Linked DNA regions of Caenorhabditis elegans. The protein of the gene in region 1 interacts with the protein of each later gene in a pairwise test. Each region holds a gene or a part of one and is shown on either strand. Other genes may lie near its edges.

The links.
Region 2: the proteins of gtbp-1 (region 1) and sir-2.4 interact in a two-hybrid assay, tested with the Caenorhabditis elegans proteins (one study listed by BioGRID).

What each region holds. Positions count from the first base shown.
Region 1 is NC_003282.8:10,123,998-10,130,668, reverse strand, and holds gtbp-1 (Ras GTPase-activating protein-binding protein gtbp-1), read left to right. Parts: upstream 1-1,712; 5' UTR 1,713-1,723; coding exon 1,724-1,826; intron 1,827-1,916; coding exon 1,917-2,041; intron 2,042-2,093; coding exon 2,094-2,156; intron 2,157-2,200; coding exon 2,201-2,729; intron 2,730-2,784; coding exon 2,785-3,027; intron 3,028-3,074; coding exon 3,075-3,433; 3' UTR 3,434-3,920; downstream 3,921-6,671. Other genes in the region: Putative sodium-dependent excitatory amino acid transporter glt-3, read right to left, coding at 1-99, 179-273; K08F4.3 (Translocon-associated protein subunit beta), read right to left, coding at 535-689, 736-970, 1,065-1,169, 1,222-1,275; ctf-18 (AAA+ ATPase domain-containing protein), read left to right, coding at 4,031-4,095, 4,150-4,316, 4,359-4,597, 4,644-4,846, 4,890-5,058, 5,104-5,561, 6,137-6,389, 6,437-6,671.
Region 2 is NC_003279.8:5,987,622-5,994,047, forward strand, and holds sir-2.4 (NAD-dependent protein deacetylase sir-2.4), read left to right. Parts: upstream 1-3,119; 5' UTR 3,120-3,123; coding exon 3,124-3,189; intron 3,190-3,536; coding exon 3,537-3,743; intron 3,744-3,799; coding exon 3,800-3,972; exon of another isoform or gene 3,973-4,085; intron 4,086-4,316; coding exon 4,317-4,614; intron 4,615-4,872; coding exon 4,873-5,007; 3' UTR 5,008-5,045; downstream 5,046-6,426. Other genes in the region: C06A5.3 (PWWP domain-containing protein), read left to right, coding at 1-585, 1,004-1,140, 1,201-1,311, 1,389-1,534, 1,583-1,861, 2,311-2,500, 2,547-2,721; unc-94 (Tropomodulin), read right to left, coding at 5,680-5,717, 6,426-6,426. UniProt on the Caenorhabditis elegans protein: NAD-dependent protein deacetylase.

The DNA.
Region 1 (6,671 bases):
GCAGATATCACAGAAGACATTATCAATGGCAAAATCATCATCTCAACGATTTGCATGAAAATTTCACCAGGAAATCCGATAAGACTGATTGTATCATTACTGGAATTCACAAATCGATTTAAAAAAATTAATTTAAAATTTACAATTTAGACCCGAAAGATTTTAAAGATCTTCTCACCTGGGATTGAAAGGTCGAATAACGAAGCCCAAGACAACACCGAGCACGACAGATTCGATGGTAAGCACAAGAAGAAGATCCTTCTTCATGCCCATCTTGTCTGTGTTGTTCTTGACAACTCGACTGCCGACTCGCTTCGTTCAACTAACGAGAAGAGAGGGATTATGCAAACTATTCTAGTGCCGTCTGAAATTTGCATTCGGCTGACGCAGTTGACATTGAAATGTGGAAAATAAAATTGTCGAAAAACTACAATATTTTATTCTTCAACCGGGTGCTAATAAATACAATTTAAAGCTGACTTATATGTGTACCCATAGATTGATAACCAGTAAAATTAAACAACGATTCGAAAGCTAATCCTGTTTTTTGTTTGAATAACGACGTTTGGAGATCCAGTAGAGAATTGCTGGGATTGCAGTCAATGGAAAAGCGATGGCTCCGAATCCGAGGAAGTGTGTGCAATTGACTCCTTCCACTTTTCTCATGGCAGTTTCGGCGAAGAAATGAGCTTAAGTTTAAAATTTTGAATTAGTTCCGTTGTTTTCAAAACATACTGTATCCTCTCTTATCATACGAGACTGTAGAGGTTCGCGCACGTTTGCCAGTCTCGGAATCAGTATAGTTCACGGTAACATCGTGATCTTCGATGGCTTGAGGAACACGAGGAATGACAACAATGTGATGGTAGATGGTGGAATTCGCAGGAATGACGGGAAAACTTGCTGTTGCAGATCCTTTCAAAATCTCGAATCGGTCAGTTGGGAAAGATTTGAGATCAGACAGCTCGACCTGAAATAATCGACAATTTCTAACCAAAATTCGCGTTATCCGAAAGAAAGAAACTAATTTTTAAAGAAAATCTTTGCGACTTTTTGAAACATACCTTGAGAGCTGGAGAAAGGCCAATGTTGATAATCTGATATTCAAATGCGTTTTCTCTTTGTGCAACCGGATACTTGGTCACGAAGGATTTGCCGATAAGAATTTTCTGTAATTATACGATTTTAGCCAGATTTATAAATTTTATTTGATAAAGTTACCGCAGAAGCATCAGCAGCTGCAAGAGCAGAGAGAATCAGGAAAACCAGTTGCATGCTAGGCGCTTCACTGACAATAATGATTTGATAAATCTGTAGGAAGTTCTCTCAATAAACGCCTTGTTGGCAAATTAAGCTGGAAATACGTGGAAAACCGAGAAGAAACAAAAGACTGTACTACAAACGGAGGATGCAGAGAAAAGTGTATTTGAACTGCCTCGCAAAATGGCAATCGTGCCGAGACCCATCACTAAATTCAAACGAGCGTGCCTGCGAATCAAACTGGCCCGTTGCCAAAAAACGCCTCTTTCGAATTTCGCGCGTTCGGATTTACGTTCGTTTTCAGTTTTCCGGTTCAATTTATCCGTTTTACAACTAGTTTCCTCCAAAATAGTTAAACTTGATATCATGAAGCAAGCAGCGGTTAAATTATTTTTTCGTCATCTTTTACATAAACCGTTTTTAAAATTATAAACAAAAATAAACATTTTCAGGTAATTATTAAATGCAGATAACCTCGGCCTTAACCCAGAATAAGATGGATCCGATCAATGGTAATTTGACTTCCACCGCTCCGGTCGAGCCACTCTCATTGACAGCCGCTGAACGTGAGTCATGTCGCACTTAATAAGTGCTTACACACCTTTTCTTTCAATTCTTTCAATCCCGAATATTGCATTAAATTGATTTTATTTCAGAAGTCGGTGGAGCGTTCTGCCATCAGTTCTATATCACCGTCTCTGAGAACCGTAAAGCGATTACCAAGTTCTATGGACATGAATCGAAGTTCTATTTGGATGATCAGGTGGTCACTGGATCGCAGGTTGGCAACAAATATAAATTGACAAAAATACATTTCGTTAATATATTTTTAGGAGATTGTTAAGTTGTACAATCATCTACCAGAAACCACCCACTTCAAGATTCAATCTATCAAGGTAAACACGACGTTCTTCGATTTTCCTACAAATATATTTTTAAGGGATACCCAACCCCACACAAACAGGGAGTGATTATCAATGTTATCGGAACCGTTAACCTCCGTCCATTCCTTCAATCATTTTTGCTTGGGCAACAAGGGCAGAAAAAATACTATGTCGAATCAGACGCTTTTCAGTACATTGATAAGTTTTTCGTCGCGAATACGGAAAAGGAGAAGACTACTTCGTCGACTGGTCATAACGGACACGCCAGTGGAGCAAATGGAAAGGATTCCAAATCTTCCAAAACCGAGCAACCTAAGGAACAATCAAAGCCGGCTCCTCCAAAGCAGCAAACGCCAAAGAAAGCTGAAGATCGTATAGTGAAGCAAGACACTCCGAAATCTGTGGAAAAGGAGGTAGCGAAAACACCGCAGAAACCACAGCTTGCCCAACAGCCCCCACAGCAGAGAGCCCCAGTTCCTGAGCCTGTTCAAGAACAGCCAAAGGTTCAGAAAACGTGGGCTAATCTTGTGGGTGGAGGTGGAAAGTCTCAGCCCCCACAACAACAAAGTTATGGACAAGGACAGCGTGAGTTGAAAAAACGAAAGATGATCGGGCTAGTCTCAGATTATTTATTTTTCAGAAATCCATCAGCAAACACAAATGCACCACATGCAGCCTTCCATGCATCAGCAACAACAAGGATCGCATGCTCCTCTTTATCAGCAACAGAGACAGTCGCACCCAGCTAATGAATTGCGCCAAGCTCAGGAAAGTTCAGATGCCAACCTAAATGAGCGTAAGATCTATTTGGGAGGAATCACTCGAGAGATTGTCCCCAGCAACACAGCTCAGGCTGAATCGGAAATCAAGCAGGTGTTCTACAGTAAGCAAATTAATAGTCCCAATAGTTCACTAAATTTTCATTTTAAGAATATGGAGAAATCGAGGAGGTTCGCATGCCGCGCAAGGTTCTTGACAGTCCGAACGACACATCGAAACATGCCTTTGCATTTATTACCATGCGTAACAAGGCCGGAGTAAAAGCCATTTTCGAAGCGGCTACAAAGGATGAGCAAGGCGTGTGGAAGCTTCCACTCAAACTGGATGCATTCGGATTTGACGGACATGCTCAAATTAGTGAGCAACGTGATCAACCACAAGGCGGCGGATTCCGAGGAGGACGTGGAGGTTTCCAACCACGCGGTGGACAATTCTTCCGCCGTGGCGGTTCGGGTGGTGCTCCACGAGGTGGTATGCGCAGCGGTTTCCAAAATGCGGGACAAAATTAGAAGCTTTCCGTTCTCCTTTTTCCTTCTTGTAAGAATTGCACATCCATTAGATTCTGTACCTATCCTTCTCATTTTCCTATTTATTGTTTCTCCTTTCCTTCCTCACCGTTCTAATAATGATGATTTAAGTAAGAAGATTCTGGTATCTGAATTTTATGGCGTGTAGCGTTTTAGTAGATCTCTCAACAATCCAATCCAATCAGCCCGCATCCCATTTTCACATCCTATCTCCCCGGTTTTCGGTGATTGACGACCGTGATCCCATCTGAGTTTACTCTTTTCGAGTACAAGTTGCAATCAGACATCATCCCACCACCGAATATCCAAGTTGTATTTGAATGTTGTTTTAATATATTACCACTTTCCTTCTCCTTTTACAAGCCCCCGTTATTGTTTCCTTCATTGGTGTTCGGGAGTACTCTTTGTACTCAAGTTCTTACCCCCATTTTGGCACGTTGGAATTAAAATAAAGTTTTGTATCTAAATTATTCAAGTTTCTCAATTTGTTTTTTTTATATGTAGTGTGTCAAGTAACAGTGTATTGTACTTATTGTTGTGAGATTGTGTTTCTAACATTTCTAATGGATACAGCAAGACATGGATGATGACTACAATGTACTGCATTCTGGGTTTGCCGACGATGATGGGCAACTTGAATATCCGTAAGATCTTTATGTTGAGAAGCAGAAGTAGTTTTACATTCGCTGAATTTTAAGAGATGATGAGGATCAGCTAGCTGTAGTTCCGAATGGAGACTCTGAAAATCAAAGAATCAATGAAGTTAGGAATGCTCTCGAAGAAGTTGGATATGGTAAAAGAAAAAGACGCTTGAATGAAGTAGAAGACGTATTTGATCAATATGGAAGACGTTCACATCCAATGGGTCAGTCAAAAAGAAGGTTTTCCAATTAAATTATATATTTAGATTGGCATATGAGAATGGAAACAGTTTCCAGTGAAGTATTACAAAAGTCACAAGTAAATGCTGTTAAGAGAAGAGCCCTCGAAAGCTTGGAACAGAAAATCAACGAAGCAGCTGCTCAAGCTGAAAGAAAAATGAATGAAAATCATCATTCTAATGCTTTTGACGATTTTCAAAGCGGAGAGCAGACAATTTCTTCACTTTGTGAGCTAGAAATGGAACGGAGATATAGAAGACGACAGGTTATTACTTTTCCTTGAAAGATTATATTTTTATCATTGAATTCAGGAAATCATGCGAAATCCGGTAACTGATGGTTCACCTTGGATTGGTATCAGTGATGTCGTCAACGGGCAACGATTTTATATTCGAACTTTCCGTGATGATCGTCTTTCTGTTCCGTTAGTAGAATCGATTACCCAACAAGCAACCCGTTCGAGGGTCGGTTTTCGAGCTTTTCAGTCGATTTGTCAGGAATCCGAACGTCTTAGGTAATAGTTTCACTAGAAAATTGAATACTTTTATAGTTTTCAGCAAGTTGAAAGAAGAATCTCGCGTTAAAGAACAGGAAGCCGAGTTTTCACGCATGCTTAAAGAAACTGAAACACCGTCTGAATATGAAAATAATAAATCTCATCCAGAATCATCATTATGGGTGAACAAGTACGAAGCCAAAAATTTCTCAGATTTGCTCTCGGACAGTGTAAGGAATTACATTATTTTAAAAAAAGAAGTCACGATATTGCAGACTGTCAATCGAAATATTCTTACATGGCTGAAAATGTGGGACGAGTGTGTGTTCCATCAAAAAGTCGACGATTTACTAGCAAGCCTCGGTGAAAAAGAACGAGAAGTACTACACATGGATAATGGCAAAATTCGGCGTCCATCATCGAAAATGTTGCTTCTTTCTGGCCCGGCTGGTCTCGGTAAAAGTACACTAGCACGAATTGTCGCTCGTCAAGCAGGCTATTCAACAATTGATGTAAATGCAAGTGATGCTCGAACAGTCGCAGATTTAAATAAAGTACTAGAAGGAGCTGTAAAAACATCTCGAACACTTGATGCAGATCAACGGCCAGCATGCCTGATTCTTGATGAAATTGATGGAACACCAATTGATACTATTCGTCATTTGGTTCGGTGTATTCAAGCAACAGGCAAAAAAGCCATTCGGCGACCCATTATTGGAATTTGCAATAATTTGTAAGTTATTTTATGGCTTCAGTGACACAGAAAGAAAATATATAATAGGATATCGGGAACAGTTGCAAAAACATTTTCAACCAAAAACCAATTTTCTCCAAAAAACCGAAAAAAAAAACACTTTTGATTTTTCCATCATACCTACATTTTTGAAAGATAATCTTTTGTTTTTTAGTCCAAAAATCCATTTTTGCAAGAAACACCAACTAAAAACGACAGTCCTAATCGGGAACAAAGATGTCAGCGAAAATTTTGACGATTTTTTTCACTGAAAATCTAAAAATCGAAAAACGACAATTTTTCGAAGAAAAAAAATCAGTGAACCATAAAATTATTTTTTTTTTTTGAAATCAAATTCTGTTTTTGTTGATAAAAACACAAGAAAACATGAATAAAAATAAAATAGAATAAAAATGATCAAACTTTCAAGATATTTTTCGAAAAATCGAAAGAAATCAAAAACTAAAATTCTTGGTTTCAGATTTTGGTAAAAATCGGAACACAAACCCCCTTTATCGGGATAACTCAATGTATTCGTAAGATGTGTTTGATTTTCTAATTATTTGTTTTTAAAGGTATACGCCAGCATTGCGTGATTTACGAGGAGTCGCCTGGTGTGTGCAACTAGTCGCAACAAAACAAGATGTTTTAGCAAAACGACTGGAAGAAATTTGTGACCGAGAACGTCTTCGATGTGATTTGAGTACTTTGAGAAAGTTATGCGAATTGTGTGCAAATGATATGAGACATTCAATTAATACTCTTCAATGGGTAGCGGTGGCAGCACGAAAATCGAATCGAGCAATTGGAATGAAGTTGATCCATGAGGTATGACGCTGTATATTTTTTGATATTAATAGAAATCTGTTTTTTAGGTTATTGAGAAAGAGAAAGGCGGATCTGCTTCTATTTTCGAACATTGGTCGTCAATTCTTGAGTTATCTAAACATACAGACGCAAAGGGAGGAATCAAATCTGTACGAGAAAGAATATTTGATATCGAACGAATATCGGCAGACCATGGAGGAGAAGAACGATTTGTGTCTGGTTTACATGCAAATTATCTTGTAACTCTTCCAATTGGAGTAATACGCAAAGCGTCTACATGGT
Region 2 (6,426 bases), on another chromosome or scaffold:
AGATCTCGTGGAAGCTCAAAAGTTTTTGATGATCTTTTTGGTCGATCCCGAAATCGTTCCGGAAGTGCTTCTGGTAGAAGATCTCGAATGATATCACTTTCTGGATTTTCTGGAGTTTCCGATATGTTTGATGAGCTTTTCAATAATCCAGGAGATATTGATAGTCACGCAGATCAGCTTATGCTTACTCTTAATAATATGCCTTCTGATGGTTCTATTGATAGACCATTGTCTCCTGAAATGCTGAATCCAATACTACAGGCGGCAGTTGAATTTTGTGATCGTTGTGGATATGAATGTCGATTAACCAATGGAAGTTGGAAATGTAATTCAAGTCATTGTGGAGCAATTAAAACTCAAGGAAGTGCATCCGTAGCTGCCGCTCGTGGAATTATTGATCAACCTATTCGTATGCCAAACCTGGAAATAAAAACGGAATGCCTTAGTGATACTAGTGCTGAAAAATCATCACTTCCTGCAAAAAGAGCACGGAAACCGAAACGGAACTCAGACGATGATGATTCCATTGACGAAGAAGCTGCAAGAAGAGCAAATTCTATTAATAAAAAAAAGAAAAGGGTTCAGGTAAGACACGTTTCACAAATTTGTAAGATGTAAGGCTTTTTCGCTACATAAAAAAGAGTATTGGCTGAATATAACTGTAAAACATTCATAAATTTCAGAATTTAAAAAATCAAATTTTTGAAACGCGATTTTTCAATTTCGGCTATCAGCAAATTCTCTGTTTGAATTTGCTCCACAATGAGTCATAGCCAAAATCGAAAAAGCGCGTTTTTAAGAGGTGGATTTTTTTTGTGGTTTTTGTGAATTTGAGACTATTTTTGGATTTTATTGCACCTTAGTCAAAACTTTTCTGAAAGATTGAAGAAATGATAAAACGTAGAAATATTTTATAAACTTTTCCAGTTGTTTTCGCTCATTACGATAACGCAACATTTGAAAAAAAAACCAATATGAGATACCAAAAACTATTTTATTTAAGGTTCTCTCTCCACGATCTCGATCACACAGTCCAATTCCACAGATAACTCCATCAACTTCTACAGGTCTTTTGGGTCGATCAAATTCTCCGTTGTCAAGCTCTCTTCGTATTCGTGATAGAGCTCGTCCTAAACATTAGTAAGTTCCCTATTACTTGCTATTAAAATATATGGCAGTGATGCGTCAACACTGATAAAGTGGTTACAGCAAAGTGGAAAAGACACCTCCAATCTCAGCAAGTGGACATAGACATTGTGTTAATTGTAATGGACAAGTGAGACCACAAATGTGTGGTGGAAATCGGCATAGGTAAGATTTCCTACAAAATATCAACAAAAAATGAATTTAATTTCTTTGATGCTCTTTTCTTATGTTTCTTATTTCAGATGGCGTTGTGTTGATAAAAAATGTCGAAAATGGTACGGATGGGTCCGCTCACATGAAGAAATACCAAAAAATACAGGACGAAAGAAAATGACAACATTCAAATCACCTATCACCAAGCCAATGAAACTGATGAAACCGAAAAAAGGTAATTTAAATTTTGAAAGTTGTGAATCGAAGTTGACAAAGTTTTCAGAAGAAGAAGATGATGGATATCCTTCATTGAAACGAAAAGTTGGACGTCCCTCTAAAAATGATATCAAAATTCGATTAAAAATGCAAAAAGAAGTTGAAGAAAAGCAAGCAGCTGTAAATGCTGCACGAGCTTCTCAAATGGCGCTTGATGCTGCTGCAACATCGTCTGTTCCACAACAAAGAAGAAAGTATACGAAAAGGAAGAAGGATGGTTTGGGTGCAGGAACTGGAGGAAAAAATAGAGATTATAGTCCATTTGAGGATGATGTTAAGAAAAGATGTACGTTTTTTGTCCTCTAAATGTTTAACGATAGTGATCAATCAGAAACTAGCGTGTTATCGAGAAAAAAAAATTTTCAAAAAATTAACCATAAAATTCAATTTTTTAAAGATCAAATTTTGGGTTGAAAGGCATAACAAAACACATAAGAAAATAAATAAATTTATTCTGAAAAAGAGAAATTACCCAAATTTCAAGAGATTTTTCGAAATATCGAAAAAAAAACAATTTTTTTGTTGATTTTTTCAATTTTTAGAACATCGAAAATTGTAGATTCTTTTCGAATAAAATTGTATGTGTTCTGTTTTTGCTGATAAAATTGAATTTTTTTGTAAATTTTCTGAAATTTGTTTTCAATTTATCGGTTGTCTTTAAAAACCTCAAAAAATCGGATTTTTTTCGACGGCGCCCATGATCTAAAAGATTTTTGAATACTTTCTTTTCTTCAGCGACATCTCCTCTCAATGATCGTTCCGCATCATATCGACCGTGTGCAATGGAGAAACGTGCAAGATGGTGGACTGGAGAGAAAAGGAGAGTCGATGCATCACCAGAACGAGAATTCGGAACAACTCCCGCTGATTCTGCAGCTGCATTTCGAATGATGGCTCATGCTGTACGGTCTGCTGCTGTTACAAGGTACCAACCTGAATTTGAAGTTTTATAAATCGTTAAATATTTCCAGAGCTGATGAAGTTGGTACTGTAAATGGTTCACTTGATCTTCTAATGGATTCTCTTCTTGGATCAATAGGACCACTTCTTGCAAATTTGACAAAACTTCCAGTATTTCAAGGAGATCAGGAACTAGCTCAACAGCTATGGAATGCATCGGCTGTTCATATTCCAACATTTCAATAAAAGCAGCTAAAAATGCTAAAAAAAGGTGCTAAATATTGAAAATCCTTCGACCATTTTCTCTCATTATAATGTCTCAGATTTGTATCATTGTTATAATCATTTAGATATCAACTAGTATTATTAATTTTCTCAATTGTCTTTTTTTTGTATTAGCCGACTGTCTACGTTCACTACCTCATTGTTCAATGGTTTTTCTCTCACTGTCAGTACAAAACTAATAAATTTTACTGTTCCCCTATAAAAAACTGTGTTTTTTTATAAAATACAATTATTATGTATGGATTCAAGGCTCGTGAGTTTATTTTCGAAAAAGGCAACTTGCTAGAGAAGAAAATTCATCGATTTTCAAATTAGCCAGTTTTATCAGAAATTGAAAGAAATGAAGAATTTGTTTTCAGAAAAATGACATCAGTTTATGAAAGTCTTTTATCAGACTATCCAGACAAAGGAGTAATTGGAAAACCTGAGGTATTAAAATTAATTCTGAATTTTAAAAAAATTGAAAAAAAAAAGAAATTCTCATCGATTTTGCACTTAAAACACACTTTTTTTTCAAATTAAAAATTGCTAAGAACAAAAAAAAAGAACTTTGGATTTATCTTAAAGCCGTAAAAAGTTTGAGCCCAAAACGCAAGTACAAAAATGTTCAAAAAAAGGTATAATAGAATTATCCCTTTTCGCCAAAAAAAAACTTTGAATAATCACATTTTATAAAATACAAAAAAAAAATGAAATCTGCAAAATACAAAACCGTTTCGAGTAAGAAAAGATTTTTTAAACACAATAGTATAATATTTCTTATTCAAAATTTTCAGATCCGAGACACTGAAACTGAAATAATTGAGAAACTCCGCACTTTGTACAACCATTTCGTCCAAGCTAAACAAACCGGAAAACCAATTTTTGTTCTTATCGGAGCCGGTGTGAGCACTGGATCGAAACTTCCAGATTTTCGAGGAAAACAAGGCGTTTGGACATTACAAGCTGAAGGAAAACATGCAGAAGGAGTGGACTTTCAAGTTGTACGTTGTTTAATAAAAAAAAAACATTTCTTAAATATAAATAAAAATTTTGACAGGCTCGTCCCGGAGTCTCACACAAATCAATATTGGCACTTCACAAGGCGGGTTACATCAAAACGATAATCACACAGAATGTTGATGGATTGGATCGAAAAGTCGGGATTCCAGTTGAAGATCTCATTGAAGTACATGGAAATTTATTTCTAGAAGTCTGTCAATCATGTTTTAGGTATATTTTAAAAATCAATCCACGGAAAACTCGACCATCTTCATAAAATGAGTTAGGTGCATTCTCTCAAAAATCGGTTCGGTGGAACTATTGAAAACCCATCCAAGTCTATTGTAAGTTTCAAGTTTCAAAAAGATCTAACGTGAAAAATAAAGAAAAAAGGTTCTTATTTTTCTAGCTCACTTCACAAAAACCGCCGTCTAAATTCTGACAATTTTAAAACAAACGGAATATATAGTATAAAACTTTAGCATCAAATATTAGAATCAATTAATTTACAAGAACATTTTTTGGAAAAGTCTTAAACTTTTCTCATCGAAAGTGTTAAATATATTGTTTTACAGTGAATATGTACGAGAGGAAATTGTAATGAGTGTTGGCCTGTGTCCAACTGGTCGTAATTGTGAAGGAAACAAACGAACCGGGCGATCGTGTCGTGGTAAACTTCGTGATGCAACTCTCGATTGGGATACAGAAATCAGTTTAAATCATTTGGACAGAATCCGAAAAGCATGGAAACAAACATCTCATCTTCTTTGTATTGGAACATCACTTGAAATTATTCCAATGGGATCTCTACCACTTGATGCAAAATCAAAAGGAATTAAAACAACTACAATTAATTATCAGGAAACTGCACATGTATGTTCATTCTTCCATTCGCAAAGTTTTCGTTGCGGCGATAGGGATTTTACTTTAAAATACGCAGATTTGTCCTAAATGTCCAAAAAATAATTTCAAAAAGTTTGAGAAAAACCACTGGTTTCGGCTCCCTATCTGAATCAATTTCTATCATGAAATTCAGGACCATTCTACGTATTTTAAAATTCCCGTCGGCGCTATTCCAATTTTAAATTCTCTTGAAGCTTCGTATATTTTAATGATTTTCCTTTTTTTCAGGAAAAAATCGTGGAAACTGCAATTCATGCTGACGTTAAACTTATTCTTTACTCATTATGCAATGCACTTGGAGTGAATGTTGATCTTGGAGATGATCTACCGGATGAAGTGCCTATTCCATTGAAAATTAGCTAAAACTGAATTATAATTGAATTATATAAATAATTAATTTTGGATTTCGTGTTTTTATTAAAAATTGATTGGGAGACAGCTGTAAGAGAGAAGACTAATCAAATCACAATTTTTGTTTGTTGTATAAAACATTTTTGGGAAAAGAACAAGAAAAATGGAAGAGTGGTGGATAAAAAGCGAATTTTTTCAAAAAATTCAGATTTTTGAGAATAAAATCTTTTGAATAAAAAGAAGAAAGGGTGCGGTGTGGGGAGGATCACAAGTGGGTTCTTCGAAGAAAAATTGCATCTGCTGAGGGGAAAACTTGATAAAATCGATAAAGCTAGAGTTCAATAATAAATCAAATGAAACAACTACGACACCCTGCTGTAAGTTTCTGGGTATTTTCCAGAATAAAAAATTATACAAAATTTGATGAAACGGGGGGATTTCTATATATTTATGAATTTCTTTGTAATAAATTCATTATTAACTATTGGAGGGACGGGGCTGTGTGTGGAGTAAAACCAAAATAAACCGATTGAGATGAATGAGAATATAGAACAAAAGAAAATAAGTTGATGGGACAAGGAAAAGAAAGAAAATATACACATAAGTTGGAGAGAGGGTGGGAGAGTTAAAAAAAAGAAATGCAGACGAGGTGATTTTATTCTAGATTTGGATACGTCACGACATTCAGACATTCGGATCTTTTCCCAATCGACGCAGACGTACTGTAAAATATTAATTTATTGATACTGTACGGTGAGTATTTTATCTTTCGTATTACTGCCAAAACATAACTGTCACTCAAGAAAAGCATTTTGCAAGCCCGCGGCGCGGTTTGATATATGTCGAATTACGGAAGATACTCCACACGGACAAGTGATTTTTTTTTCGGCATTTAAAAATTTTTTGACTACTTCTCTCTTTTTGAACTACTTTTTAAAACGTTTTTTATATTTAAAATTAAACAATTAAAGGTAAAGAATAAATTGACAGACCGGTAATACTTATTTTAAATTTTCAAAATCTTTTCTTTAAGTATTTTTATACATTTTAAATTAATCAATATTTCTTTAAAATCCCTCAATTTTAGTTCTCGTTCTTTTTTCTTTTCCGAGGTCAGGTGTCACACATTTTCAATTTTTCCCCAAGCGGCTTCCCCCTCTAGCGAAAAGTTTAAAGTCAGCCGAATATGAAGGAGGCGACTGATAAAAACAGCTGATTTTTCTATGATTTTGTCGAAAAAAAAATAGAACAGACGTACATTGAGTGGTGACGTAAAGGAAGAACACTTTGGAGAAAAGCACAAAGGTCAAAATTATTAAAATTTAGTTTTTTTCGGTTTCGGATCCACAGTCCAACTCATATTTGAGTTTTTTTTTTAAATGAAATACAGTCAAATTACGATCAGGATATATTTTTATAAAATAACAAACC